4 linked regions of the Anolis sagrei genome follow. The protein of the gene in region 3 purifies or fractionates together with the protein of the main gene of each other region. This does not show direct contact. Links are inferred from orthologs where the notes say so. Each region holds a gene or a part of one and is shown on either strand. Other genes may lie near its edges.

Region 1 (7,119 bases), on a different chromosome or scaffold from region 3:
GAGGCGTCAATAATAATAATAATAATAACAATAATAATAACAACAACAACTTTATTTATATTCCACCACTATCTCTCCAATGGGGACTTGGAGCAGCTTACACGACGCCAAGCCCAAACAGAAAATTACAATAAAATAAAACTGAAAACAAGCAACTACTTCATTCTTTTATAATACATATGGGCATTTTCAAAATTAGGTAAATAATGTTTTTCCCTGTTATGGGTTCATATAACTGGTAAGATTACCTCTTCTGCCTCTCCCCCCCCCCCCCCAACTCAACAATAACATCCACCTTTGCATTCTACAGGTATCTTCAATTATGTTGCATTAGATTAGACTGAGAGGTTGTATCAACTGCAAGATGTATTAAACTGATGGCCTGAAAAAAGATTTCCTTGAACTAACAGCATAAAACTATAAAACGCAAGATCTGTGTGTCATTTTCAGAAGCAAAGTATATGCAGAAAGAAATATTGGGGCAAACTTTTGAAACAAATCACAGTATCACAAAAGTACTAAATTGGCCATGACCTGCTTCTGATAATGGCTGTGGCTTTGTCTTTTAAAAATGCAGCTCCACCTGCATTTATGACATTTTTGCATCATGACGGCCCAGCAGCAATCCTGACCACCCACACAATGCTGCTTGCTATTTCAAGAAGTTTCTGCTCTCTCCTCATTGGTCATTTATAATAAATGCTTTGGACCAAGAAGAGGAAAAGACTGAAATTGCATTTGCTAATTAAAATCTGCTATTTCAAAACCTTCAAACAGAACCATTCCTCTCTTTCCCTCCCTATATATATATATATACATACATACATGCACTTTGATGGGGGAAATCTACTATAGAATTTTCACAGGATAACACACACCATAACTAATGGTGATACTAAGAAGATTTTTGGTTCCATATGGAGTAAGCTCTCCCCTTTTGCAGGGGTCAGGGACACAGGAGAACTGCAGATTAAAAAAAATTGCAGTTGTTAAAACAAGTAAACATCTAAAAAACCCAGGATTCCATAATGTGTCTGGAATACATATTTGGAGACTTTACAGAAATGTATTTGGTTCTAAATGCTTATTTATGTTTTATTTTATAGATGGTTTTATGTGTTATATATGCTGATAGTTTTGGACTTGTATTGCTTTTAACATGTTGTAAGCCACTAAGGGTCCCTTTGTGGGAGAAAAGTGGGATACAAATAATAAGTTATTACTATTATCTATAGGAATTTTGGTTTTCCAGAATTATTATTATTATCCTGCTTTTCTCCCATGGGTGTGATTCAAAGCGGAGTACAATAGTTAAAAGCAACAAAATTACATAACATAAAATACAGCATAGTAAACAAAAATACACACTACACAAAACAAATTTAACAAATTAATAAATCAAAACATTATACCATTAAAAATTTTTCCTGAACCTCAGGCCATTAAGATTATCCATTAAAACAGTTACGTTAGGCTCCTAAAAACTCAATTTTTCTTTAGGTCAGTGGTGCTCAACCTATGGGTCTCCAGATGTTTTGGCCTTCAACTCCCAGAAATCCTAACAGCTGGTAAACTGACTGGGATTTCTGAGAGTTGTAGGCCAAAATACTTAGGGACCCACAGGTTGAGAATGATGCTTTATTTTTATGAGATGTGTTATATTTTTATGAGATGTGTTTTATTGTTTACCTGTGCAGCATTAAATTTTTGCCAGATATGAAAGCTGCCTTGTGTCCCTTCTTGGGTCGAAAAAGGCGGGGTAGAAATGAGGTAAATAATAAATAGACCGTGTTAAAATACTGCTGGTCTAAAGCAGCATTCCCACAATATACAGTTGCCTATTGTTGATAGAATCATACAGTTGGAAGAGACCTCATGGGCCATCCAGTCCAACCCCCTGCCAAGAAGCAGGAAAATTGTGTTCAAAGCACCGCCAACAGATGGTTATCCAGCCTCTGTTTAAAAGCTTCCAAAGAAGGAGCCTCCACCACACTCTGAGGCAGAGAGTTCCACTGCTGAACAGCTCCCACAGTCAGCAGTGGAACTCTCAGCTCCAGAGTGTGTTGGAGGAAAGGCCTGGTTGAATTTATGATCAAATTCCAGTTGAAACTAACTTCAGAACTGCATCGCAGGGCCTCTATCCCCAGAGAGGTGTTTACTCTAGAAATCTCTAGGTCCTGTCAACAGGACTGGAGGAAGAAACTCCTAAATGGCATTTTAAATCAAATCCGCAAAAGTCTGAACAAGAAATGAGGAGGGTTGACTGTATAGTGAAGCACAAACTAAGTCTGTACATACATTATTATTATTATTATCATCATGTATTTAAACAGCACCATTGCTGTACATGATACTTTGTGAGGGAATGAATAATGAACCCATGCCCTGCCCTCAGGCTTATAGTCTGTTCTTGGAGAGAGGAAGGTAAGAAATAAGTATGATGATGTTCACACACTGTCATCAGCATCACTGGCCTATTTCAGGTTCACTATAGGTGCATCCACACGGTAGATTTAGCGCGGGTTGGCACCACTTGAACTGGCAGGGCTCAATGCTATGGAATCCTGGGGTTTGTAGTTTGATGAGGCGCCATGCCATGCGGCGCCTCATCAAACTACAAACCCCAGGATTCCATAGCATTGAGCCCTGCCAGTTCAAGTGGTGCCAACCCGCGCTAAATCTACCGTGTGGATGCACCCAGAGGAGGCCCAGGCCCCTCACTCGCTCGCTCCCTCTTACCTTCTGTCACTTCCAGCACCTTCACTTGCTCCTCGGCTGCGGCGCGCACCCCCTGCACCGGGCACAGGATGCCATTCAGAGTCTCCACCAGCGCCTCCTTCAGCCCCTGAGCCACAGGCCCCAGGCCTCCGGGCCCCACCACCGACATCCCGGCAGGAAGAAAGAGACTTCCCGGAAGGAAGGAAGGAGGAAGGACTGAGGGGAGAGAAAAGGGCCGCGGACGCTGCTGCTGCTGCTGCTGCTGCGGATGCCGCCACCGCGCGCCAAACGCAGCCGCGCGACGACGCCGCTCGCTCGCACGCACGCACGCACAGCGCTTCCCCTGCCCAGGCTCCCGACAGGCGCGCTTCTCCCACAGCGACCCCCGCGGTCGGCGGAGGAACTGCAAGCAGGGCAGCGCCTTTCGCTCTGGTTTGTTGTAGGTTTTTTCGGGCTGTAAGCCATGGTCTAGAGCAGTGGTTCTCTACCTGGGGTCCCCAGATGTTTTTGGGCTACAACTCCCAGAAATCGTAGCTAGTTTACTAGCTGTTAGGATTTCTGGGAGTTGTAGGCCAAAAACATCTGGGGACCCCAGGTTGAGAACCACTGGTCTAGAGGCATTCTCTCCTGACGTTTCGCCTGCACTTTGGCAAGCATCCTCAGAGGTAGTGAGGTCTGTTGGGACTAGGCAAAAGGGTTTATATATCTGTGGAATGACCAGGGTGAGACAAAGGGCTCTTCTCTGCTGGAGCTAGGTGTGAATGTTTCAACTGACCACCTTGATTAACATTCAATGGCCTGACTGCGCCTGGGGCAAACTTTTGTTGAGAGGTAATTAGATGTCCCTGCCTGCTTCCTTCCTGTTGTTGTGCTGTTGCAATTTTAGAGTTTTTTTTAATATTGGTAGCCAGATTTTGTTCATTTTCATGGTTTTCTCCTTTCTGTTGAAATTGTCCACATGCTTGTGTATTTCAATGGCTTCTCTGTGTAGTCTGACATGGTGGTTGTTGGAGTGGTCCAGCATTTCTGTGTTCTCAAATAAAATGCTGTGTCCAGGTTGGTTCATCAGGTGCTCTGCTATGGCTGAATTCTCTGGTTGAAATAATCTGCAGTGCCTTTCATGTTCCTTGATTCGTGTCTGGGCGCTGCGTTTGGTGGTCCCTATGTAAACTTGTTCACAGCTGCATGGTACACGGTAGACTCCTGCAGAGGTGAGAGGATCCCTCTTGTCCTTTGCTGAACGTAGCATTTGTTGGATTTTCTTGGTGGGTCTGTAGATAGTTTGTATGTTGTGTTTCCTCATCAGCTTCCTTATGCGGTCAGTGGTTCCCAATAACACTTTTTCTCTGGGTGGATCTTCATCTTTTTTCTCATGGCTTGTTCTTGGTCTTGCAGCTCTTCTGATGTCTGAGGTGGAGTATCCATTGGCCTGGAGAGCCCAGTTGAGGGGGTTCAGTTCATCTTGGAGGAGGTGGGGTTCGCAGATTCTTTTTGCACGGTCTGCCAAGGCTTTAATGGTGCTTCTTTTTTGACTTGGGTGATGGTTGGAGTTTTTATGTAGAGATATCTATCTGTGTGTGTGGGTTTTCTGTAAACGGTGTGACCCAATTGTTGATCTGGTTTGCGGATGACTAGGACATCTAGAAAAGGCAGTCTTCCTTCATTTTCTTTTTCCATTTCGCTCTCCCATTCTTGCGTCTTAAAAGAATGGGACAGTTTTGATAATAATGAGAATGCATCCATTCTTGCACATCTCGAGTCTCAATATTCTGTATATATTCCTTCATTGGTGAAATCCATCGGGACGAATAGTTCAATTATGTGTTTATCTGGAATATCACTAGGCACTATTATGTACATAATAAACAGTATGCACATTAATATTATTTTACTGGCATAAAAGCACAGTATGTCACAGCATACGAGATCTATATGCTGGATTCCGTATCACAAAATCACAAGTTGAACACTTCCCAAGCGTCTAGGACTGTGTTATTATTATTATTATTATTACTATTATTATTATTTGAAACATAAGATGAGTCCACAGCAGACTATTGTATTGGATCACACGTCGGACACTTCCCAAGTGCCTAGGACTATGTTATGTGTCAGCGAATAATGCGTGCAGATCCCAGTAAAGTGGCCTTCTGCAGCTGGCAGATGATAATTTTGTCAGCACCGATTGTGTTTAAGTGCAGGCCAAGGTCTTTAGGCACTGCACCCAGTGTGCGGATCACCACTGGGACCACCTTGACTGGCTTGTGCCAGAGTTTTTGCAGTTTGATCTTTAAATCCTCATATTGTGTCAGCTTTTCCAGTTGTTTCTCTTCAATCCTGCTGTCCCCTGGGATTGCGACATCGATGATCCATACTTTGTTTTTTAACACGACTGTGAGGTCAGGAATATTATGCTCCAAAACTCTGTCTGAATTTGGAAGTCCAAGAGGAGTTTGGCGTGTTCATTCTCTGTAACTTTTTCCGGCTTGTGATCCCACAATAATAATAATAATAATAATAATAATAATAATAATAATACAATTAGGAGCCCCCAGTGGTGCAGTGGGTTAAACCACTGAACTGCTGAAATTGCTAACCAAAAGGTTGCAGGTTTGAATCCGGGGAGCGGCCTGGCGGGCACGGGAAATTTGAATCAGAAAACTGTATATTCTATACTAGCTGTCCTCTGCCACACGTTGCTGTGGCCCAGTCTGTGTATTTGTGTTTGTATATATGTGTGTGTATTTGTGAATATGTGAATATATGTGTGTTTGTGTATATATGTGGTTTTGCACATGCATTGTTGTTTTTGTTGTGAATGATGTTACTGGACCCTGTAATGTTGCTCCCCGAGTAGACGTGGAGACAAAGTTGGCATCTAGGTTTGTGGCAGGGTCTTGTTCCTCCTGTATTACCATCCATAGTATGTATCCTGTGGTGAGTACAGTAGCTGCTTACAATTTTGAGATTGAAAGGCAATAAATGCCAGTCTCCCAGAGCTTGTGAAAAGGATAAATTCATAATGGGCTGTAGATTCCCTATTTTGTGGGTCTAAGCAGTTGTGTTAGACTGGTTAGCAGTAAACAATAGATAGGGTGTTCTGAATGCTATTAATTGCTATAGACCATATTCACAAATTCAAATTCAAATTCTTTAGAAGAGGTATTAAGAAGTACAATGGCTTCATGGCACATTACATATATTAATACAAGATTTCTCAGTACTACATATCTAGAAATTGTCTCAAGAGATGATTTTGAGCCCAGGGAAACAAACTTTTGGTAAGGAGAGGTATTACTGTCACACTAACACTAGCTGACCACTATAAATCACTAAGATCAGAAAAACCTGTGTCACCTTGTCAAGCCCTGTGACATAAGGGGCAAAGGAAAATATTGGGATTTTCTAGGTCCTATTGCATTTTATCTCATTTCACAACTGTATAAATATGCTTTCTACTTGAGTTCTTTATATCATTATGCTACATCTGAAAAATGCTTTTATATCCATGAAAGCTCATAGTTAGTCCTAAATATGCTGCCACATTTCTTTTCTTTTCTCTCCCTCCTTTCTTCCTTTTTATGCTGGGATTTGGAAATCTGTGCCAGAGACCTGTCATGCCACTCTAGATTCATAGATTCCATAGAATGTAGTTATGAGCTTGAAAAAAATCACTGAGCCTTAGCAATTTTCCTAGTTACCTCTTCCAAAATACCTTGACTCCAAGGAGTCCTTAAAATTGGGTTAGCGTCAGTCCCTGAAAGGAAGAATTCAGCTTCCAGCTTCTCTTTTTGCAAGTGCTGCTATCACCACATTTCTCTTCCCACTCCTATCACCTTTGCATATCACTACCACCATCTTCTGTTCTACAAGGGTGTCCTGAGAATGGCCTGCTGCTTCATCTTCTCCTCCTCTTGCCTCTTTATGTAAAGACTAGCCATCTCCTGCCACGCATTGCTGTGGCCCAGTCTGTGTATATGTGCTGTGTGTGTGTATATATGCGTATATGTGTGTGTATATATTTGTGTATATGTGTGTTTGTGTATATATGTGGTTTTGCGCATGCGTTGTAAAGTATTTTGGGTGGGGTTTTTTTGCTTTTTAAGTCCCTTCTGCTGTGTTTTTCAGTGTTTTTATGAGTTATGGTCACTCGTTGGCCTGATAGGTGTATTGTGTCCAAATTTGATGTCAATCTGTCTAGTGGTTTTTGAGTTATGTTAATCCCACAAATGAACATTACATTTTTATTTATATAGATAAGGGATCTTCTAGAGGAGCTGGAAGGCATCAAAGGAATAGCTAGTAGCCTGCAATCCTAGCCTTACATCATTGTGGTTCTTGGCCCATCTTGCTAGAAAACATCAGGAACAAATGAAATACTGCCATGCATCACAACTTAGG
Region 2 (7,940 bases), on a different chromosome or scaffold from region 3:
CTCCAGCACTGACATTAGTATGGAACTCAGCCTTGACAAATGTGCCACAGCGGCAGTAAAGAAAGGGAAAATTACTCACAGCGAGGGCATAGAGATGTCAAATGGACAAACCATAAAGTACAATCAGCCTGAAGCCTATAAATATCTGGGCATACTACAGCTGGACAATATCAAGAATGGGCAAGTGAAAAAGGTGGTCAGCAAATAATATATCCAAAGAGTCAGAAAGGTTTTGAAGAGCAAATTAAATGGCGGAAATACGATCAAGGCTCTCAACACCTGGGCCATCCCCATCATTAGATACACTGCTGGGATTGTGAACTACACAAGCAGAGCTGGGCGATCTGGATAGAAAAACAAGAAAACTGATGACAATCCACTCCTCATTACACCCGTGTAGTGATGTCAACAGACTTGACCTGCCCAGAAAATCAGGAGCTTGAGAGAGGGCTTCTGCAAGTGAAACATACGGTAGAAGAAGAGAAACACGCACTGGCAGATTATGTGAAAGGCAGTCAAGAACCAACATTGAGGGAAGTCAATAGTGAAGTCAACAAGTGCAAAAGACAAAGAGAGAATACCATAAAAACACAATTCAGAGCAGAAGAGAAAACTGGTCAAAGAAGGCTCTCCATGGACAGTTCCTGGGAAACACTGAGAGCCAAATTGACAAGGAAAAAACATGGCTGAGGCTCACGAATGGAACTCTGAAAAAGGAGACAAAGGATGGCCTGATTCTGGCAGCCATTAGAACCAATGCCATCAAAGCCAGAATTGAAAAGTCAACAAGAGATCTCAAATGTAGACTCTGCAAGGAAGCAGATGAAACAACAGATCACATTCGCAGTTGTTGTAAGAAGATCGCGCAGACAGACTACAAGCAGAGGCACAACACTGTTGCTGAGATGATTCATTGGAATTTGTACCAGAAATACCATCTGCCTGCGACAAAGATCTGGTGGGACACAATGTGAAGATTTAAAGATTGAACTGTAAAGACTCTGGCACAAGCCAGTAAAGGTGGTTCCAGTAGCCCTTCAGGCCCACGCCCTGATTGCTCAGAAGTGGGTCCTGGTTCCTGCAGCCCACTTGTCGATGGGTGCCCAGGAGAAGCACTTGCTGTGGTCCTTATTATCCTGGGTGATGACCGAGCCAGTATAAACTTCTTTACAATTTGTTTCACCATATTTAAATGGTTTGGGTGTACTTAGTTCTACTTCTCAGTGGAGACCACTCTGGCTTGGCTGAACCTGCTGGTAGTTTATACTATCACCAGCACAGCTCTCAACATCACAAGCCAGTAAAGGTGGTCCCAGTGGCGATTGGCACACTGGGTGCAGTGCCTAAAGACCTTGGCCTGCACTTAAACACAATCAGCGCTGACAAAATTACTATCTGCCAGCTGCAGAAGGCCACCCTACTTGGATCTGCACGCATTATTAGCCGATACATCACACAGTCTTAGACACTTGGGAAGTGTCCGACGTGTGATCCAATACAACAGCCAGCAGAGTGACCTCGTTTGCTGTGGACTTGATCTTGGAGTCCTCGTGGACAACAAGTTAAACATGAGCCAACAATGTGATGTGGCGGCAAAAAAAGCCAATGGGATTCTGCCCTGCATCAATAGGAGCATAATCTCTAGATCTAGGGAAATCATAGATGTATATGGAGCCCCCAGTGGCGCAGTGAGTTAAACCCTTATGCCGGCAGGACTGAAGGTCGCAGGTTCAAATCCGGGGAGAGGCGGATGAGTTCCCTCTATCAGCTCCAGCTCCTCATGCGGGGACATGAGAGAAGCCTCCCACAAGGATGATAAAAACATCAAATCATCCAGGCGTCCCCTGGGCAACGTCCTTGCAGACGGCCAATTCTCTCACACCAGGAGTCATTCTTGACACGGCAAAAAAAATAAATAGATGTATATTGCGTTCTTAGGGTGAGGGAGAAGCGTGGAGAGATGTAAAGACACCACACACTTTTTTTTGCATGCTATCTCTGCCAATATGGGATTTTGGCCTGCATCAATAGGAGCATAGTGTCTAGATCTAGGGAAGTCATGCTCCCCATGCTCTATTCTGCTTTGATTAGACCACACCTGGAATATTGTGTCCAATTCTGGGCACCACAATTCAAGAGAGATATTGACAAGCTGGAATGTGTCCAGAGGAGGGTGACTAAAATGATCAAGGGTCTGGAGAACAAGCCCTATGAGGAGTGGCTTAAGGAGCTGGGCATATTTAGCCTGAAGAAGAGAAGGCCGAGAGGAGATATGATAGCCATGTATAAATACGTGAGAGGAAGTCCTAGGGAGGAGGGAGCAAGCTTGTTTTCTGCTTCCCTGGAGACTAGGACGCGGAACAATGGCTTCAAACTACAAGAAAGGAGATTCCATCTGAACATTAGGAAGAACTTCCTGGCTATGAGAGCCATTCAGCAGTGGAACTCTCTGCCCCAGAGTGTGGTGGAGGCTCCTTCTTTGGAAGCTTTTAAACAGAGGCTGGATGGCCATCTGTCAGGGGTGCTTTGAATGCAATTTTCCCGCTTCTTGGCAGAATGGGGTTGACTGGATGGCCCAGGAGGTCTCTTCCAACTCTAGGATTCTATGACTCATCTTGTTGTGTTTCAAATAATTTATAATAATAGTAATGTATAATAACATAACTATGAAGTATTGCATGAAAGATACAATAATATATTTCTGGTATGTTTACTCAATATAGAATGATACATAATAATAATAATAATAATAATAATAATAATAATAATAATAATAATCCAGCCTCGAAGTCTTGGAAACAGGCAAGCGACAGTTCCAGCCCTTCTTCTTCCCCGTCGACTGAGGCGAAAGCAAGTTTCTCCCCAGGAAGCCCTTCCGCCTCGCTTCCCCTCCGCCTCACCTTCATTTCCCTCTCGGGAATCACGTCCATGTCGTCGCCCATCCCTCTCCTTCTTTCCGCGTCGCCGCCTCACCTCACCTCACCTCCTCGGCCGGAAAAAGGAAACCAGGACGAAGCTTCCGGTTCCGGTGGCGCTCTAGGCCCATACCCGCCTCTCTCTTACCTTTCCCATAGAGAAAGCCGCTTTCGAAGCCTAGAGAAGCCGAAATGGAGGCGGATCGTGGCGTTTTCCTCGGACCCGCCCGCTCAGGAGACCAAAGAGTTAGAAATCTATAGACACCTCACTGCAACATCGACTTCTGGTTCCCTTAGGCCATTTTTTTTTTGTTTTATGTGGGACCCTAGAGATAGCAAGGTATCAAGATAATGCTCAAGATCCTGCAAGGAAGACTCCAGCAATACATGGAGCGAGAGTTGCCAGATGTTCAAGCTGGGTTTAGAAAAGGCAGAGGAACGAGAGACCAGATTGCCAATATCCGGATGCTGGATAATGGAGAAAGGCAGGGAGTTTCAGAAAAACATCTATTTCTGCTTCATTGACTATTCTAAAGCCTTTGACTGTGTGGATCATCATAAATTGTGGCAAGTTCTGGGTGGGATGCCCTATTTTCATATGTTTACAGCAGAAACTACCGAAAATCATGCCACAAAAATATTTGAATTTTTCCATCTGAGGCACACCTGGGCTCCTGATGGTCCCCCATCTCATGAACAAGGGACTCTCTTTCCTCCTCATGGATATATTTCCTTTTATGGACCTTCCTATGAATAATATGAACTATGGACACTGGGGGAAGGTAGTTGGGTTTACTCCTTGTGTTATGATTTCTATATTTTCATATCTTCTCCTGTATTTCTATATTTCCCTTCATGTATTTGACCTTGCCCTGACCCTTTTGCCCCCTTCCCCTCTCCTTGGGGGAAATCTACAAGGAATCTGCCCTGCCTCTGGAAAAGCAACCTGCGATCATGAAAAGACCCTTCTCTTTGGACATTCTTTGCATGGACAATAGTAAAGGAAATCCTTTTGACTTCGGAGTTGGGCCATCTTAAGGGTTCCTGTCTGGCAGACTTTTTAATCATATAACAATGGGGGGAAATATGACCTTAGGAAAGTCCTCTTTTCCTCCAAGCCATTTTTCTTTCAAATCTTTCCACTAAGGACACTCACAAAAGTTTCCCCTTTGTGCCCTATCTGATTGTAAGAGGAAAAACCGGATTAAGCCATCAATGCTTATCACAGACCCATTTCAGGACAATAAAGTGGCTTCTCTGGAAGGCCGATCCCCAGACTCGATAAGCCTAAGGACATTAAAACTCCATAATCCACTCCAGAATGCATTGTCTCCCTTCATCCCGCCTCCCTCCCTTCTGATTCGCTGGAGCGTCGAGGCAGCAGGAGCCTCCTGATAGGCTCTGGTGCCCCGCAAAAGCCCTGTGATTGGCCCTGATGCATGGGGGATGGCCAGGCCTCCTCCCAGCTGTTTGCGCGTCAGCCAATCCCCTTCGAGCTGGGCGGGAGGGGGGAGCAGGAATTTTGAAACTCACAACTCTGTATTTTCTATAAAAATGGCCTTTACTTCTGTAACCACATGCTCTGCTTGGCGAATTATTGCTGCTCTGCATCCTTTTCAGCTGAATCGCTAATAAACCTCGGTGGCACTTCCTTCAACTTGGTGAGACCTTTTATTGGGAAAAATCAGGGATTGGGTGCTTCTCTCTGTCTCGCCAGGGTAACAAACTCTTTAAGGAGCCTGATTGGTCTCTGCCTCCTGGCAAAGACACCTAAATTCCTGCTCTATAGCATAATGGGCACTGATCTTGGGTCTCGGAGTCCGACTGCTTGAGGAGATGTGCCCACTTGGCATAAGTTATCAAGGGCCTTCAGAAAGCCACAATTTGTCCTGATCTGTTTACTCAGTTATCTTCCCTCAACCGAAACTGCAGATAAGATTGTTCCATTGTCCCCATATCCCTGCTCAAGAAAAATCCGGATTCTGGCCACCTCGCCAGACATCAATGTTGATTACCAACTCCTCATCACAATAGCTGGTCAGCTGGAAGGCCCCTGAGGACTCACCAGCCACATGGACATCACATATTTCCATAATCCACTCAAGTTCTCATTGTTTCCCTCTCGTCCCGCCTCCCTCTCTCCTGATTGGCCAGGAGGCCGAAACGGCATGAGCTCACCCATTGGTTAAGGCACTCCGGAGGCGACCAAGCCTCCTCCCAGCTGTAGAGCACCAACCAATCAGCGCCGAGCCGGCTGAGGGGCGGGGAGCGGGAGATTCAAATCTGACAGCTCTGTATATGTATAAAAAGGCTTTGTTTTGTATTCAATGTATGCTTGCCTGACGACTTGATCAGTCATTGAAGCAGTAGTCTCAGGAAGGGAGTGAAGGTACTTCAAGTCCCATCATCCCATGTGTGCCAAGTTTGGTCCAGGTCCGTCGCTCGTGCACGCCACAGTGGCAGACAATCAGAAAGCTGCCACATACATACACACATACATACAAACATTCTCTTTATTTATTTATTTATTTATTTATTTATTTATTTAAAACATTTCTATTCTGCCCTTCTCACCCCGAAGGGGACTCAGGGCGGAGCACAGCATATATACAGCAAACATTCAATGCCGGGACACAAATTCAAATAGAATACATAAACATTAAAAAACAATTTATCAAATATTAAAATACCTCATTTAAAACCATCCTAGATATAGATTTAGAAGATATAGATTATAATTATTTAAAGTCATTAATGATTTATAAAAGGATGACATTTTGTTTGCAAAGAGAACCCAGGCCCATTCCAGAGACACGGCCGGCTATACAGACAGTGCTTAAATAGATAGATATGTGTATAATATATGTTTATATGATATTTATATGATATACATACATATATATATATATATATATATATATATATGCATATATTTAAAACGGCTACTTCTAAGAGGTCCCTCCGGCCAGGGTCCCAGGAATTTCCCTTCTCGATCCTTCTTCCTTTGCTAAAGCAGAGAGTTAGTAAGGGAGGGCAGGCTTCCTAAAAGGGTCTGGGGTCAAGTGGGGGTCTTTTTCCCAAAGGAAGGGGGTTCACGGCAGGGTAGAGATGTCCCTCTTCGGAGGGGGGCCGGGGGCCTTCGGGGCAGCGCCTTCACCGGCCTTGTCTTCAAACATCATGACCCTGCAAGGAGACAACAAACGGCCATCCAGTTATATACAGTGTTCCCTCACTTATCGCGGGTGTTACGTTCCAGGACTACCCACAAAACGTGAAAATCCGCAAAGTAGGAATGCTATATATGAATACACCTTTTTTTTTGCTAGTTATCTCTGCTTTGCTTTGCAATTTCTCTTGATTGGCTGTTTCTCTCCTGAGGGGGGGGGGTGACACCCCCTTCCACACTCCATCGTTGCCAGGAGGCAGGATTAGAACGGCAACGGCAACCATTCATAAACTGGGAGGCAAAAACCCGCGAAACAGCGAGTCCGCAAAAAGCGAACCGTGAAGTAACGAGGGAAAACTATATCTGTATAGAACTCATGTTCATAATTAGACAGTGCAAATATATAATATATAATATATTATATATAATATATTATATATAATATATAACATATAATATATTATATATTATATACTATATACTATATATATACATTAGATGTACCTGCCACGCATTGCAGTGGCCAACCTTCCTCTTTCTCTTCTCCTCTTTCTCTCCTTCCTTCCTTCTCTTCTTCTTCTTCCCTTCCTTCCCCCCTTTTCTTTCCCTTTTGCTTTCTCCCCTTTTTTCCTTCTCTTGGACTGCAACTCCCAGCAGTCCTCTTGATCTATCTATCTACCTACGTACCTATCTCTATCTAATCTATCTATCTATCTGGACGATTGCTGGGAGTTCTTTTATTCATGCACTCTACTATATATATATATATATATATATATATATATATATAAACACACACACACACTAGCTGTCCCCTGCCACGCGTTGCTGTGGCCCAGTCTGTTGATCTGGAAAATAAAGTAATGAGAAAGTGTTGGTTTCTAATATACTTGTGGGTAAACAGTATTTCTTGCTATTTCTTTGTCAGTGTTGATGTGGAGAGTGTCTGATTTGCCTACATATACAACATATAATTGTCCTTCTTCAGGGGTCCCTTTCAAATCTATGATACTATATTTGTGTGTGTGTGAATCCTTTATATCTATATCTATAGCTGGATGGCTCTGTCAGGAGGGCTTTGATTACATTTTCTTGCCCTGGTGAAGGGAGTTGGACTGGATGGCCTTGAGTGTTTTCTGTTGGTCATGGGAGTTCTGTGTGGGAAGTTTGGCCCAATTCTGTCGTTGGTGGGATTCAGATCACTCTTTGATTATAGGTGAACTATAAATCCCAGTAACTACAACTCCAAAATGTCAAGGTGTACTTCACCCAAACTCCATCTATCTTCATATTTGGGCATATGGAATATTCGTGCCAAGTTTGGTCCAGATCCATCATTGTTTGAGTCCATGGTAGTCTCTGGATGCAGGTGAACTACAACTCCCAAACTCAAGGTCAATGCTCACCAAACCCTTCTAGTGTTTTCTGTTGGTCATGGAAGTCCTGTATGCCCTGGTTGGTTCAATTCTATCATGCTATTTGATTGTAGGTGAACTATAAATCCCAGCAACTACAACGCCCTATCTATCTATCATCCATTTATCTATCTATCTATCTATCTATCTATCTATCTATCTATCTATCTATCTATCTATCTATATCTATGGCTGGATGGCTCTTTGTTGGGAGAGCTTTGATTACGTTTTCTTGCCCTGATGAAGGGAGTTGGAGTGGATGGCCTAAAGTATTTTCTGTTGGTTATGGGTGTTCTGTGTGGGACGTTTGCCCCAATTCTGTTGTTCGTGGGGTTCAGAATGTTCTTTGACTGTAGGTGAACTGTGAATCCCAGTGACTACAATTCCCAAATGTCAAGGTCTATTTCCTGCAAACACATATTTGGACATATTGAGTGCTTGTGC
Region 3 (7,477 bases):
TAAGTCGGATGTTTGTAACTCAGAGACTGCCTGTAAAGCTTTTTTGCTAGTTTTCTTTATATTTCATTCTAAGGGTTTTGAAGTTATACTCAATGGCTTTTCAGATGAAACTGAACTTCACAGTGTCAGCATGGTAGGTTTGTAAGCCCACTACTTTCAAACCTCAATACACCTTTAATTTGAGTTGAGTAACATAATATTTGGATATAATAGGGGGAGAAAGGGCTGCCATATATGTGGCACATTCAGCTCAATGGAGGAAAAACAGGACAAAAACGTTACAAATAATGTAAACTAATAAACTTGTAATTTAAAATCACCATCTCATTGTTTGAAATAACACAATGTAACAAAATTTGAAACATTTTCTGTTTCTGGTTTGAAAGTGTTATTTCCCGTATTAGTTGTGCGGTCCTTACTTTGAAAGCAGTTGTTCTACTCCAGAAAGTCATTTTTGTGGCTGCCATAAGCTAGGCTGAATCAGCCAAGACTATAGGCTAGTCATTAAAAGACTATAGCAAAATGTGCTATAGCAGGATGTCCCGCCAAAACGATTTTGAAGTTCAATGCACTTTGCCCATGCTTTTATGATAGAACCAATTAGGAAATGACATTTATAGCCCAGGAACAAAAACCATGTTGCTTAGGGCCCTTCCACACAGCCATATAACCCAGAATATAACCCAGAATATGCCGCCCTACATGAGAGCCATGCGTGACTTAGGGCCTTTTACTCTCACACTTAAGACCTGGCTTTTTACTAGAGCATTCGATCTCTGCTGATTTTTAATTTTTGTATGTATGTATTTTATCTTTTGTAATTTAGCTGTAAATCGCCTGGAGCATTCTCGGATGGAGGGTGATTAATAAGTTATTAAATGATGGTGATGTATATCAAGGCAGAAAATTCCACAATATCTGCTTTGAACTGGATTATGAATCCACACTGCCATATAATACAGTTCAAAGCCAATAATGTGGGATTTTATTCAGCTGTGTGGAAGAGAACATAGTGGGTTACAAATATATATCACACTACCAATAAAAATCAAACCAGACAGCCATGAAGTCCAAAAGCACAATGTTGCCTTCGGTTACCTAAAAGTTAAATTCTTCGGATCCTTAACACATTTAGGGCTCTTCCACACAGCCATATAACCCAGGGCCCTTCCACACAACCCTATAATCAAGATCAAGGCAGAAAATCCACAATATCTGCTTTGAACTGGGTTATCTGAGTCCACACTCCGATACTGTAGGATTTTCTGCCTTGGTATTCTGAGATAAAGAGCTATGTGAAAGAGCCCCCAGACTATCAAGGCTGATAACCCACAATATCCACTTGGAACTTGGTTATGTGAGTCCAAACTGCCGCAGTAGACTCTGGAACTCTCTGCCCTGGGAAAACTAGAATGGCCCCATCCTCCCTGCTGTCCTTCAGATAGCAAAATCCAACATTTTCATTCAGGTAGGCTTTTAAAGGTTTGTAAAGATCATCAAGGGGGGGGGGGGACTGCTGTGATTTTGTATGTGGTTAATGATGTTTTATACTGGTTTTAATACTTGTATATTTGAAGTTGTGCTGCAGTGCTTTTAGTTGTGAGCCGCTTTGAGAGCCCCTTCCACATAGCCCTATAGCCCAGAAGAAGATCAAGGCAGAAAATTCCACAATATTTGCTTTGAACTGGGGGTCCTTCCACACAGCCCTAAATCCCAGAATACCAAGGCGGAAAATCCCATAGTATCGGAGTGTGGACTCAGATAACCCAGTTCAAAGAAGATATTATAGGATTTTCTGCCCTGATATTCTGGGATATAGGGCTGTGTGGAAGGACCCTCAGTATGGAGAGAAAAAGTGGGACATAAATAAACATCAGATAATCCAACTCAATGTGGATTTTATACAGCTGTGTGGAAGGGAGTTACAAATTAGATGTCAAACTGTGCGCGTGGGGTTCCTGCGGATTCCTAGGCGAACAAAGGAAGCCACGCGCCACAGGGATCCTCCCGCCCCACCAAACAGGGGAAAAAGTTGTGGGGTGGGGAAACTGCTTTTCTTTTTAGTAAAGAATCTATTGGGGGAAAGAGGGCTCAGAGGCTGCTTACCTTAAACTGGACTTGGGGTTCTCCTTGCGGGGCGGCCATGCTGCGTCTGGAGAGGAAGAGGAGCGAGGGAGGGAGGGAAGAAGGAAGGAAGGAAGGCAAGAGGCGTGATCGGTGAGGAAGGCCCTATTCGCCCGAGCTCCCCAAAAGGCGCGTGGCGGCCTCTGCATCCGGGGCGCGAGGCAGGAAGTGGCAGCCGGAGCGGCCAATGGCGCCCCCCCCCCAAACAAGCCTCGCCTAGCCTGGCCTCGCCTCTCTTCTTCCCCCCCCCTCCCCCCGGGCCCGGAATGGCTCAGCACAATCGAGGGGCGTAAGGCAGCGCTTGCAAACAATACGCCGGAGGGACAAGGCGAGCCATTGTGATCGCCTCAGAAACGAGGCAAGAGACGGCCTTGGGGCAGAGCTCTCTCTGAGGGAGACGGAGAAGTACCACCCACGTACGTTGTTTGCCGGCAGATCCCTCAGGTGGGATCCGCCCGGTGCCTGACTGCTTCTCCGCGGAGATCCGCCTCCTCCTGGCGGGCACTTCCCGCGGGGGACCGAGACTGAGGCGCGGCCGCCCCTCCCCCTCCCTCCCCCGCCAACCGCCGCCCCAACGGCCACCGCCGCGCGGGAATCTCCAGAGCGAGACACGCACCCTCCTGGCGGGCCTCAGCCGGCGCCTCTCCCGCTCGCCTGCCCGCCTAGCGCTGCCCTGAGGCGCCTCCGCAGCCTGCGAGGGCCTCCCCGGCTCGCTCCCCCTCGGCCTCCCGCCTCTCCTGCCCCAGAGTTACCTTCCCGGGGCGGTTTTCTTTCTCACTCCGCTCGCTCTTGGCTCTCTCTCTTGTCTCCCTCCGCGAGCTGGGCGGACGGCTGAGGAAGATGGCGGAAGCGCGAGGGTTCAAATAGCCGTAAAAAAGAAGGGGGAAAGGGGGCGGGGCGTGCGCGCGGGGGCCACGCAGGCCTGACGTCACAGAGGCCCGCGCGCGCTCACAAACGGGCAAACAGGGCGGGGGGAGGGGCGGGCTCCGTGTCACGTGGCTGCCTCGGAAGGCGGAGGAGGAGGAGAGGGAGAGCCCGGCTCTTCGCGCCTCTTTCTCGCCGCGCTCACTCGCTCGCTCGCTCGCAGGGCTTTTCCACTCGGCCATCTCACCCAGAATATCAAGGCAGGGAATCCCACAGTATCTGCTTTGAACTGGGTTATTGGAGTCCACACTGCCACATAGCCCACTTCAAAGCAGAGATTGGGGGATTTTCTCCTGCTGTGTGGACGGGGCCACAGGCAGGCAGGCAGGCAGTCCAGCCGAAGGCAAGGAGGCGCTCTCCGCCTGGGTGGAAGAAAGGGCCGCTCTCCCCCGTCCTTTCTCTCTGGTGGCCGTGAAGACTCAAGCCGTTTCCAACCAGTCATTTAACTCAGAATCTCAAGGCAGGAAATCCAAAATATCTGCTGTGAACTGGGTTATTTGGCAGTGTGGACTCAGACAATCCAGTTCAAAGCAGATATTGTGGGATTTCGTGCCTTGCTATCCTGGGTTATATGGCTGTGGAAGAGCTCTCAGGCTCCTTCCACGCCAAAATCCTACCATATCTGCTTTGAATTGGAATATATGGCAGTGTGGATACGACTAACCCAGGCCCTTCCACATAGCCCTATATCCCAGAATATCAAGGCAGAAAATCCCACAATATCTGTTTTGAAGTGGGTTATCAGAGTCCACACTGCCATATATTCCAGTTCAAAACGGATAATATGGGATTTTATTCAGTGGTGGGATTTTTTGCCTTAGATATTCTGGGATATAGGGCTGTGTGGAAGGGCCCTGGGGTCCCTTCCACACAGCTGAATAAAATACATTATCTCCTTTGAACTGGGATATATGGCAGTGTGGACTCAGATAACCCACTTCAAAGCAGATTTTGTGGGATTTCCTGCCTTGAGATTCTGGGGGTCCTATAGCCCAGAATATTAAGGCAGAAAATCCCACATTACCTGCTTTGAACTGGGTTATCAAGAGTCCACACTCAGGTAATGTGGGATTTTCTGCCTTGATATTCAGGGATATAGGGCTGTGTGGAAAGGCCCCCAGAATACCAAGGCAGAAAATCCCACATCTGAGTGTGGACTCAGATAACCCAGTTCAAAGCAGATATTGTGGGATTTTCTGCCTTGATATTCTGGTATACAGGGCTGTGTGAAAGGACCCTCAAATAACTCGGTTCAAAGCAGATCTGGTGGACTACCAGGTATTCTAGATCAGTGGTTCTCAACCTGTGGGTCTCCAGATGTTTTGGCCTACAACTCCCAGAAATCCCAGCCAGTTTACCAGCTGTTAGGATTTCTGGGAGTTGAAGGCCAAAACATCTGGGGACCCACAGGTCGAGAACCACTGTCCTAGATTATATGGCTGTGTGGAAGGGCCCTTGTAGAATCCAGTTCAAAGCAGATCATTTGGATTCAGAAACTGAGTTGCTGTGGCAGTATAGATCCAGCCCGAGTGTCTGCTATATAATGAACTGCAGTTAATCCCCGAGTTACAAACATCCGGCTTACAAACAACTCCTAATTAAAAATAGGGCTGAGACTCCTTCCACACAGCTGAATAAAATCCCATATTATCTGCTTTTAATTTGAATATATGGCAGTGTGGACTCAGATAACCCAGTTCAAAGCAGATATTGTTGGATTTTCTGCCTTGATATTCTGGGTTATGACTGGAAGGGCCCCGAGACAACAGGAAGGGAGAGATATCTATCCCAAGGAAGGGAAATCCACTCCTGGAAAATCGAGTCTCTACTGAAGCTTTATCCCCAGTTGTTGTTTCTACAACAAGCCACATTTCTCAAAATCCAATTATCACAGGGATAGAAAGTGTGGGAACACTTTATTCTAAACAGGGGCATAGGCAGCAAAACGCCACAGGAATATTGACCCTGAAGTGTGACCCAAAAAAACCTTATATATTTGGTTGGAGTTACACTCAAGAAATGTCCCTGTTCCTATTTACATACAAATTTAACTTACGAACAAACCTACAGAAACAATCTTGTTCGTAACTTGGGGACTGCCTGTACTTGCTTGGATTTTCATGACCGCTAGCATGAGTTGCCTGAGGAATTTATTGACTACAGCCCCTTCCAAACTCTCAACCTGCTGTAACACTTCTTTGTTGTGCTATTTGTGCTTAGATATACAAGTTATATAATTTATACCCATTTATTATTTCATAATAGGAGCCCCCCAGTGGTGCAATGAGTTAAATCCTTGTGTCAGCAGGACTGCTGACCAAAAGGTAGGCGATTCGAATCTAGGGAGTGGGGTGAGCTCCTGTCAGCTCCAGCTTCCCATGTGGGGACATGAGAAAAGCCTCCCACAGGATGGAAAAACATCCAAGCGTTCACTGGGCAACATCCTTGCAGACAGCCATTTTTCTCACACCAGACATGACTTGCTGTTTCTCAAGTTGTTCCTGACACACACAAAAATCACAATACTTTTAGTTCACAAAGGATTTGTGAGTTTAGTCTTCTGATGAGACAAATGTGTAATTGGTATGTGATGGTCAGTTGTTTCTAGGCATTATTCCTGGCGAGGGAGTGTGTTTGTGTGTGTAGCGGGGGAAGCACACTTACAGCAGGTCCTAGCGATTGGTCTTCCCACTGTATGCATTTACATAGACAGAGAACACAAGGGCACCAGTGCTAGCAGAGGAATGGATTTTGTAGGATCAGCATGACTACAGTCCTTACCTCAGCATAAGCTCCACTGATATAAGCAAAGTTGCCTTTTGACTGCATAGCTTCAATTTGTAAAACATACTACACTTTGGAAAAATTACTTTTTAGGTCAACCATTTCCAGAATCTCTTAAGAATGTGAGTGTTGTGGTCCAAGAAGTAGCTTTTTCACATTTTTCAGTGACGACTATTCATTCGGTTTAATTCAGTGTAAAGTCTTCAATTGAAAATGCAACTTAAACAGTTCATATGAAATAAAAACTTTAGCAAAGAGAAAGAAGCCCATTTCAAACGTTCTCCATTCTGCAGGCTATGAGAGCAATTGTTTGGTTTTCTCCTGCTGTTCTCTAGTAAGTGGTGTATTTTGCTTCTGTACAAGATTTGTATTGTATTCTCTGAGGTTTGGGGACCAGGGAGGAGTAACAACATTTCTATTTGTAATTTTCCTGTGCTTTCCACTGGTTTTTTCCATCTTTTTATTTACAACAACAAATGTCTATGAAAAAAAGGAAGATAAAATAGCTGCAGGATGCCTTCTGACCAACAAAGCTAGAAGCTGCGTGGCTTAAAGTACTTTTGTTTGGAGGCAGCATATAGCCAGCCATCTTGACTAATACACATTCGTTGAGAGCATTATTCTCCAAGAAAGCTATCCAATGTCCCTTTCAGAGCCACATAAATTGATGGTCATCAACACATTATGTGGGCATCAATTCTACAATTAGTATTTGCCCTCAGCAATTAAATTGTAAAATTGAAAGCTCCTTCAGTGCCCTGGGATGCAGTTCATCTGGCCCTGCTGATCTGAACTCATTCTGGTTAGTAAGGTGATTCATGACTAACATCCTATCAATCCTGAGTTGCAATTAAAATCCCTAGTTAGTATATCTGCTGCTACATGGAAGTGCACACTTCTCTTTTGGGGAGAAAAATCAAGTGGAATTAGTATTGAGTTCTGGCTTTTTCATTGTGAAATGTTAGCATTTTTGCTACCTTACCACTATTTCCTTGCCTTGAGTGTATCCAAAAGGGATCTAGGTGCCTTAGGGCCCTTCCACACAGCTCTATATCTCAGAATATCAAGGCAGAAAATCCCACAATATCTGATTTGATCTGGGTTATCTGAGTCCACACTCAGATAATGTGAGATTTTCTGCCTTGATATTCTGGGAAATAGGGCTGTGTGGAAGAGGCCTTAGAGTCCAGACAGGCCCAATATCCCAGGATCTGTACAATTTATAGGAAATACAGAACTGTCAAATTCAAACTTCCCGTGCCCCTTGCTGGCTTCACGCCGATTGGTTGGAGTCATCAGCTGGAGGGAGGCGCGGCCGGCTCAGGCGTGCCTTGGCCAATAGGGAAGCCAGCGCTGCTTTGGCTTCTGAGCCAATGGGAATTGAGGAGGCAGTACAAGCAGGAAACAAAGAACCGAGAGGAAAAAAAATTAGTGGATTAAATGTAACTTAATGGTTTGTCCGATGGCCAGCGATAATCCGGATATTCCTCAAGCTGGCCTGGTATTGTCCCGTGGGGGTGAAATATACAAAAATGGTTGGCGCGGCTGCCAAGCCTTGATAATCTTTTGTCCTGGATATGGGATCAATTGATGCTATCTGTGTGTTGGTTTCAGCCAAGGGTGCAAAGACAATGGGTGAGGCGGA
Region 4 (7,388 bases), on a different chromosome or scaffold from region 3:
GTGGTCTTTGGGTGAGAAAGGAGCTTGCTCTTTCAGATCGAGTTCTGCGAGTGTTAAAATGCAAAGCTCTGCAGCATCTTCTCTGTTGCACAAAGAGGAGGTCATCGCTATCTCACAGCAGCTGGGCATACAATTTTCTCTGTGACCTAAGAAAGATAATTCCAAAAGGTGGGTTTATATAAGGCGAAGAGCATGTGTGAAAGTGCTACAGAAATGAAGGATTAAAGCAGGCATGACTTTGACTGCGACCCTCCAGATTCTTTGTGCCCACAAACCCCACCAGAGAATGTGGAGTGGGAAAATGGGAACTGCAGTCCAAAAACCAAAACCTATTTACTTTCACCTATAGATAATGCCAATTTGGATGACTAATAAGCTAAAATTCAATCTAATCAATATGGATTTATCATTTACTAGCCGTCCTCTGCCACGGCTTGCTGTGATCTAGTCTGTGTATATGTGATTTTTGTGTATATATGTGTATATATTTGTGTATATGTGTGTTTGTGTATGTGTGTGTGATTTTGCACATGCATTGTAATGTATTTTTGGGGTTGTTGGTTTTTTTTTGTTTTTTTTTTTTTTTGCTTTGTAAGCCCTTCCGCTGTGTTTTTCAGTGTTTTATGAGTGATTGTCACTTGTTGGTCTGATACGTGTATTGTGTCCAAATCTGGGGTCAATTCATCCAGTGGTTTTTGAGTTATGTTAATCCCACAAACAAACACTACATTTTTATTTATATAGATTTGCAGAGGTGTTCCTCCCATTGGGAAAGATGTCAAGGTTTTAAGTTAGTGTGTTTCTTTGAAGGTAGTGTGTTTCATTTTGTGACTGGTCATTAGAAAGTAAACACAGACATAATTTGCAAGTGTGATTACCAGGGCATGCATCTGAGGAAATCTCATTTAGGAGAGTATATGAATTAATCATAATCACATTAACATTTTATCCAGCCCTGCATCACTATGGTTAGTATAACACTTTCTTAGCGGCCTTGTTTAAAATCACATCTCAATCACAAAGCTACCAAGAGACAAAGACTCAAAATCATTACTCTGTAAAAAGGTCATGAGTTCAAAGCCAGCCCAGATCGGAGTAAGCTTCCGACTTCTGTGTAGCTTGCTATCAACCTTTGCAGCCAGAAAGACAGTTGCATCTGTCAAGTACAAAATTTAAGTACCGCTTATGCGGGGAGGCTAATTTAACTAATTTACGATGCCATAAAATCTCCAGCAAGTAAGCAAAAAAGAATTAGGAAGTACTCAATCAGTGTCAAAAATGGATGGTGAAGCGACAGCTCCCCTGGTGGCCAGAATACTCTCATGAAAGCTGGAAAGTTAATTAGCCTCTGATTGTCTGTCAGCTTATATTTATTAACATTCCAGCTTTTTTTTTGATGAGGGTATTCTGGCCACCAGGGGAGCTATCGCTTCACTGTCCATTTGTGACACTGATGGAGTGTTTCCTCATTCTTTGCAGGCTTGCTGGAGATTTTTATGGTGTCGTAAATTATTAAATTACCCCCCCCCCCCCCCCCGCATACGCAGTATCTAAATTTCCTACTTGACAGATGCAATTGTCTTTTGGGCTGCAAAGGTTGACAGCAAGCTGGCTTCGAACTCATGACCTTTCGGTCAGTAGTGATCTTAATGCTGCTGACTCCCCGCCGCTGTGCCACAGTCCTGGTGCGGTAAGGCCCCAGAGTTCTTTGGCAGGGAAGTGGTAGCCCTTGCAAAATTGCAAACCCCATGGATTCCACAGCACTGAGCCAGGGCAGTTAAAGGATGCTTCTACAGTGCAGAGGAAGCTGGTGTAGGCATGCGGAACTGAATTGCTTCCCGGGCCTTGGCACTCTTGGCTGACCAGCCTCTCTTTCAGCCTCTCCTGCCTCGCAGGGTCATTGTGGGGAGGAACACTAGGAGGGGAGGGCCATTGCTAGAAGGCAGATGGGATGGAAAAGCAGCAAGCAGCCCCATGGCGGCAGCCGTGTCCCACCCCCAGAGCCAGGCCTCTTCTAGGACCCACAAAGGGATAGAAAGGGCAGGCATGGCTCAGTCCCTGCAAAACGCAGCCTTTCTTTGGCTGCTGCTCTGTTTCCTTTTACCTGGATGGGCTTTCTCCGCCTGCAGCCACCCTCTGTCCCCAGCACTGACTTCCCCTCCTCCTCCTCCTCCTCCTCCTCCTCTTCTTCCTGGCCTGGCAGCTGAATGTGCTGGCACTCTCTGCAAAGAGAAAGCATGTCTTGCTCTCTGTCTCTCTTGCAAGGCTCCTCCCTGGAAGCCTTCCCTGGAGGGACTGCTGGCAATTCAGAGAGAACCAATGGACCGAAAAGGGTGCCTCGGCTACACTGTAGAATGAGTGCGGGTTGACCCCACTTGAACTGCTCTGGCTCAATGCTATGGAATCAAGGGAGCTGTAGATGTACAATGTCTTTTGCTTTGTACATACTACAACTCCCCAATGCTGCATAGCATTGAGCTAAGGCAGTTCAAGTGGTGCCTTTTTTCATGTCAGGAGTGACTTGAGAAACTGCAAGTCACTTCTGGTGTGAGAGAATTGGCCGTCTGCAAGGACAGTAACTTCTGGTGTGAGAATTGGCTGTCTACAAGGACGTTGCCCCTGGGACGCCCAGTTTTACCATCCTGTGGGAGGCTTTTCTCATGTCCCCGCATGGGAAGCTGGGGCTGACAGACGTGAGCTCACCCTACTCTCCAGATTTGAACTGCCAACCTTTCGGTCCTCAGTCCTGCAGGCACAAGGGTTTAAACCATTGCACCACCAGGCCAAACCGTACTCATTCTAGTGTAGGCAGTGGTGGGTTGGGTCTAAAAATATTGGTTGCCAGGAGACAAAGGGGGCCTCACCCCTAAAAGTTCCGAGCCTATATAACATATGGGTCGGCCTCATAACCCAAGTCAGAATAATTTTTTCAGAGTTTTTAAAAATTATATTCTTAAATTTGTTCTTTCAAATCAGTGGTTCCCAACCTTTTTTTGGCCAGGGGCTACTTTGACCAGGGACCACTCTCCAACATTAGTACCAAAGAGGTTATGAATCAGTTTTTGCTCAATTTTAGATTCGGTTTGGTTATTTGAAGTGCTGATAAGAGAAAATTGCATTGGCTAGACCTCATCAGCTCTCGTTTCTGATACAGAACATACGCTATCCAGTAGTCACCATCAGCTCAGCTTCAGAAAACCGTATTTAATAGAGCTGATGTGGTAGTGGTAATGCTTTGCGGGTAGTCAGCCTCTCCCCTCCTGACAGCTCAGTTGCCTCAGCACTATAAGAGGGTTTTGCAAGACCAGTTTTGCAAGACCACACTGCTGTGTGGTTTCGAGGCAACTGTGTAGTAATGGTGATGCTGTGGACCATATTTTCATTCTTCTGGACCACTGGTGGTCCACGGACCACATGTTGGGAACCACTGGAAGATTACTTGCATGTGGAAAACATACTTGCACATGGAACGTATACTTGCACGTGGAAGATGTACTTGCACGTGGAAGACATACTTGCACATGAAAGGCGTATTTATATGTGGAAGGCGTACTTGCAAAGGGAAGGTGTACTTGCACATGAAAGATGTAGTTGCACATGGAAGGCGTACTTGCACGTGGAAGATGTATTTGTACGTGGAAGGCGTATTTGCACATGGAAGGCGTACTTGCACGTGGAAGACGTACTTGCACATGAAAGACGTATTTGTACGTGGAAGGCGTACTTGCACATGGAAGGCATACTTTCACGTGGAAGACGTACTTGCACATGAAAGACGTATTTGTACGTGGAAGGCGTACTTGCACATGGAAGACGTATTTGTACGTGGAAGGCGTATTTGCACATGGAAGCGTACTTGCACGTGGAAGATGTACTTGCACGTGGAAGGCGTACTTTCTTGCACGAGCGTTTTTTGGTCCCAATTTTTAGAAATAAGTATACAAATAAATAAAGATGCATCGATTTAATATTTATATTCCACATCTCCACCCTCCCTCCCCAAAAAAGGTCTCAATAGCTTCTTTGCAGGATTTGGGTTCCTTTCAGGGGGAATCAAAAGGATTGTAGTGGTGACTGCCATGAAGAAACGCACTGCTGACTTCCAAAGAACAGTTGTTGCCAGTTTGAGAACCATAAACAACAACAAAACAAACTCAGAAGCCTTGGCGCCCCACCAAATCTCTTTCCCTTCACCCTCCTTCCACAAGTTCTATTCGTTTCCACACGAGGGCATTAATTTGTCGACGATCCCTTGATCGTCCTCTGTTCTTTTTTTTCCCCTTTCTTTTGCTCCGGAAAAGCTTCCCTTTGTACGCATGCGCACTTGTCGTAGCCGGAGAGAGCAGCGCGGGGCCAGAAGGGACCGGAAGAAGCGTGCGCGCGGGCCGGAAGGGGAGCAGGCAGGCGCGCGCGCAGTTCCTCGCACACGGCTTTCAGTGGGCGTTTTTTTTTCGAAGCGTCGAAGGCCTCCTCCTCCGGCGAGCGCGCGAGAAGTGTCAGTTGCGCATGCGCCCTGGACCTCTTCTCTGTCTGTCTGTCTGTCTGCCTGGCTGCCGGCCTCTTTCCCTCCTCTCTCTCTCTCCCCGGCCGTTGAGGAAGAAGGACCATGTCGCGCAGGCGGCACAGCGACGATAACGACGGTGAGCGGGAGCGAGGGAGGAGAAAGGAGGAGAAGGGGGTGGGAGTGGGAGAGAGGGAGGCCTGGCCCTCATGGCCTGAGGAAGCTGCCTTTCTTCGATAGGGGCTCCCAACCTTTCAGGTATGGGGGGACTTCAACTCCCAGAAGCCCCAGCCGTCTTCGCCAACCGAGAGGAATCCCGGGAGTTGAAGTCCCAACTTAGCCCCTGGGAGACCAAAGGTTGGGAAGTGTGTCTGGTCTGGGGGGCCAGTATTGTCGTTCTCCATGGGCATCTTTCTGAAGAAAAAGCCTGGCCTGTAGGACCTTTGACCCGTTTATTTCACGAGAAATTAGTTCAAACGCGTTTTGGAAATGGGAACTTCAGTTGTGTCCAACCTCTCAGTACTTCTCACAGTGACTTGGAGTTGTTGTGAACAAGAAGCGTGCAAGAACGTATGCCAGCATGTAGTAGTAGTAGCAGTAGTACAGCAAGATACTGCACTTGTAAACACTTGGCAAGGAATGCAGTTATTTCTAATAGTCAACACAGATTTATCTAAAACACGTCATGCCAGACTAATCTGATCTCTTTTTTCAATAGAGTTACAAGCTGAGGTTGGTGGGGACGAGGAGCAGGGCCTTCTCAGTGGTGGCTCCTCACCTGTGGAATTCGCTCCCCAGGGAAATTAGGTCACCAACATCCCTCCCCTCATTTAGAAGGAAATTAAAAACATGGATTTGGGACCAGGCCTTTGGGTAATCTGGCAGCAGACAAAGGACTAGTGACGACAACTGATGGACTTGACAGTGTGGAATTGAATTTATGAACTCTGAGTTGGCAAACGTTGAGCATTAGATTGGTTTTATAGATTTATTTATTTATTTATTTGCTTTATTTCTATACCGCGTTTTTCAGCCTAATTAGGCGACTCAATGCGGTTTACACAATGCAGGTTATCACAACAATAAACAGTTAAAAACACATCATACACAACAACAAAATCAACAATTATTATCAATTCATGACGCCTCGATAACAGAGCAAAATCCATTCTCATAATCCTTGTGCCATTTCTATGTTCAATTTTACCGTCTTCCTGTGTTCAGTTGCACTGTTTAGCCAAACGCTTGCTCGTAAAGCCAAGTCTTAACCTTCTTCCGAAACGCCAGCAACGAAGGAGCCTGTCTGATGTCTATAGGTAGGGCATTCCATAGCCGAGGGGCCACCACCGAGAAGGCCCTGTCCCTCGTCCCCGCCAACCGTGCCTGTGACGCAGGCGGGACCAGAGCAGGGCCTCCCCGGACGATCTTAATGTGTGATTTTGATGTGTGATGTATAATGGACTGTTTTAATTACTGTTTACATATGTTTATTTTTACCTTGTTGTGCCGGCATCGAATTGTGCCTTTTGTAAGCCGCCCTGAGTCCCCCCTCGGGGGGTTGAGAAGGGCGGGGTAGAAGTGCAATAAATAAATAAATAAATAAAGCTGGATAGACACAGGGAACACTATTGGTGTAGCGTACCTGGATTTCAGTAAGGCCTTCGACAAGGTCCAATATAACCCTCTGGCAAACAGACTAGTTAAATGTGGGCTAGGCAAAACTACAGTTAGGTGGATCTGTAATTGGTTAGGTGAAAGAATCCAGAGGGTGCTCACCAATAATAATAATAATAATAATAATCTTTTTTTATACCCTGCCACCATCTTCCCAACGGGGATTTGGGGCGGCTTACATGAGGCCAGGCCCAACAGTGCATTACAATAAAATAAAAACAAAGCACATAACAGACAACACAATAAGCTTAATAAAACATAAGAATACAATAAACAATATAAAATACAATGAAAAATCATTCGCAATCACAGTGACAATGAGCAGGCCACATTTACAGATAAAATACTAAAAGCTCAGCATGAGATAGGAGTGGAGCAGATTATTTGTGAGGGAGAAGTTGTAAAAACAGGCCTTCAAATAGACAGGGGGAAGTGTGCTATAGGCACAAACATTGAGTGGGAGCAACAGTGTGTAGTTGTATGGTTACTCTCCAAAAGCACAACGGAAAAGCCAGGTTTTGAGATTCTTCTTGAAGGTTGCTAAGGTGGGTGCTTGCCTAAGCTCACTGGGCAATGAGTTCCAGAGTCGAGGAACCACAGAGGAGAAGGCTCTCTCCACTGCTTCCTCTTCATCTTGGAAAGAAGTGACGAGAGGAATGCCATAAGCAAGATCCCGTCCTGGTCCCAGGCCTGTTCAACATCTTTATTAATGACTTAGATGAAGGGTCAGAAGTCATGATCGTGACGTTTGCAGGTGACACCAAATTGGGAGGGATAGCTAGCCATTACTCCAGAAGACAGGAGCAGAATTCAAAACGATCTGAACAGGTTAGAGAGATGGGCCAAAACTAGCAAAATGAAGTTCAACAGGGACATATGCAAGATACTCCATTTAGGCAGAAAAAATGAAATGCAAAGATACAACATGGGGGACACCTGGCTCGACAACAGTACATATGAAAAAGATCTTGGAGTCCTGGTGAACAATAAGTTAAACATGAGCCAACAGTGTGATGTGGCAGCTAAAAAAGCCAATGAGATCTTAGCCTGCATAAATAGGAGTATAGTGTCTAGGTCCAGGGAAGTCATGCTACCCCTCTATTCTGCCTTGTTCAGACCACACCTGGAGTATTGTGACAATTCTGGGCACTGCAATTGAAGGGAGATATTAACAAGCTGGAATGTTTTCAGAGGAGGGTGACTAAAACGATCA

What was found.
Region 1: the proteins of RAN (region 3) and IPO9 purify together in Homo sapiens (affinity purification with mass spectrometry; 3 studies listed by BioGRID and IntAct, with this or other methods). This does not show direct contact. The link is inferred for Anolis sagrei from reciprocal best matches to the Homo sapiens genes RAN and IPO9.
Region 2: the proteins of RAN (region 3) and NUP214 purify together in Homo sapiens (affinity purification with mass spectrometry; 3 studies listed by BioGRID and IntAct, counting the BioPlex papers as one, with this or other methods). This does not show direct contact. The link is inferred for Anolis sagrei from reciprocal best matches to the Homo sapiens genes RAN and NUP214.
Region 4: the proteins of RAN (region 3) and NCBP1 purify together in Homo sapiens (co-immunoprecipitation; 3 studies listed by BioGRID and IntAct, with this or other methods). This does not show direct contact. The link is inferred for Anolis sagrei from reciprocal best matches to the Homo sapiens genes RAN and NCBP1.

Annotation. Positions count from the first base shown.
Region 1 is NC_090024.1:206,524,191-206,531,309, reverse strand, and holds the start of IPO9 (importin-9), read right to left. Parts: upstream 3,006-7,119; 5' UTR 2,888-3,005; coding exon 2,740-2,887; intron 1-2,739. UniProt on the Homo sapiens protein: Nuclear transport receptor that mediates nuclear import of proteins, such as histones, proteasome and actin. Serves as receptor for nuclear localization signals (NLS) in cargo substrates.
Region 2 is NC_090031.1:17,129,635-17,137,574, reverse strand, and holds the start of NUP214 (nuclear pore complex protein Nup214), read right to left. Parts: upstream 3,016-7,940; 5' UTR 2,943-3,015; coding exon 2,901-2,942; intron 1-2,900. Other genes in the region: AIF1L (allograft inflammatory factor 1-like), read right to left, coding at 6,008-6,098. UniProt on the Homo sapiens protein: Part of the nuclear pore complex. Has a critical role in nucleocytoplasmic transport.
Region 3 is NC_090034.1:37,904,103-37,911,579, forward strand, and holds the start of RAN (GTP-binding nuclear protein Ran), read right to left. Parts: upstream 3,002-7,477; 5' UTR 2,877-3,001; intron 2,541-2,876; exon of another isoform or gene 2,383-2,540; intron 2,153-2,382; 5' UTR 2,146-2,152; coding exon 2,107-2,145; intron 1-2,106. UniProt on the Homo sapiens protein: GTPase involved in nucleocytoplasmic transport, participating both to the import and the export from the nucleus of proteins and RNAs. Switches between a cytoplasmic GDP- and a nuclear GTP-bound state by nucleotide exchange and GTP hydrolysis.
Region 4 is NC_090022.1:150,976,575-150,983,962, reverse strand, and holds the start of NCBP1 (nuclear cap-binding protein subunit 1), read left to right. Parts: upstream 1-4,374; 5' UTR 4,375-4,606; coding exon 4,607-4,640; intron 4,641-7,388. Other genes in the region: TSTD2 (thiosulfate sulfurtransferase/rhodanese-like domain-containing protein 2), read right to left, coding at 1-129. UniProt on the Homo sapiens protein: Component of the cap-binding complex (CBC), which binds cotranscriptionally to the 5'-cap of pre-mRNAs and is involved in various processes such as pre-mRNA splicing, translation regulation, nonsense-mediated mRNA decay, RNA-mediated gene silencing (RNAi) by microRNAs (miRNAs) and mRNA export.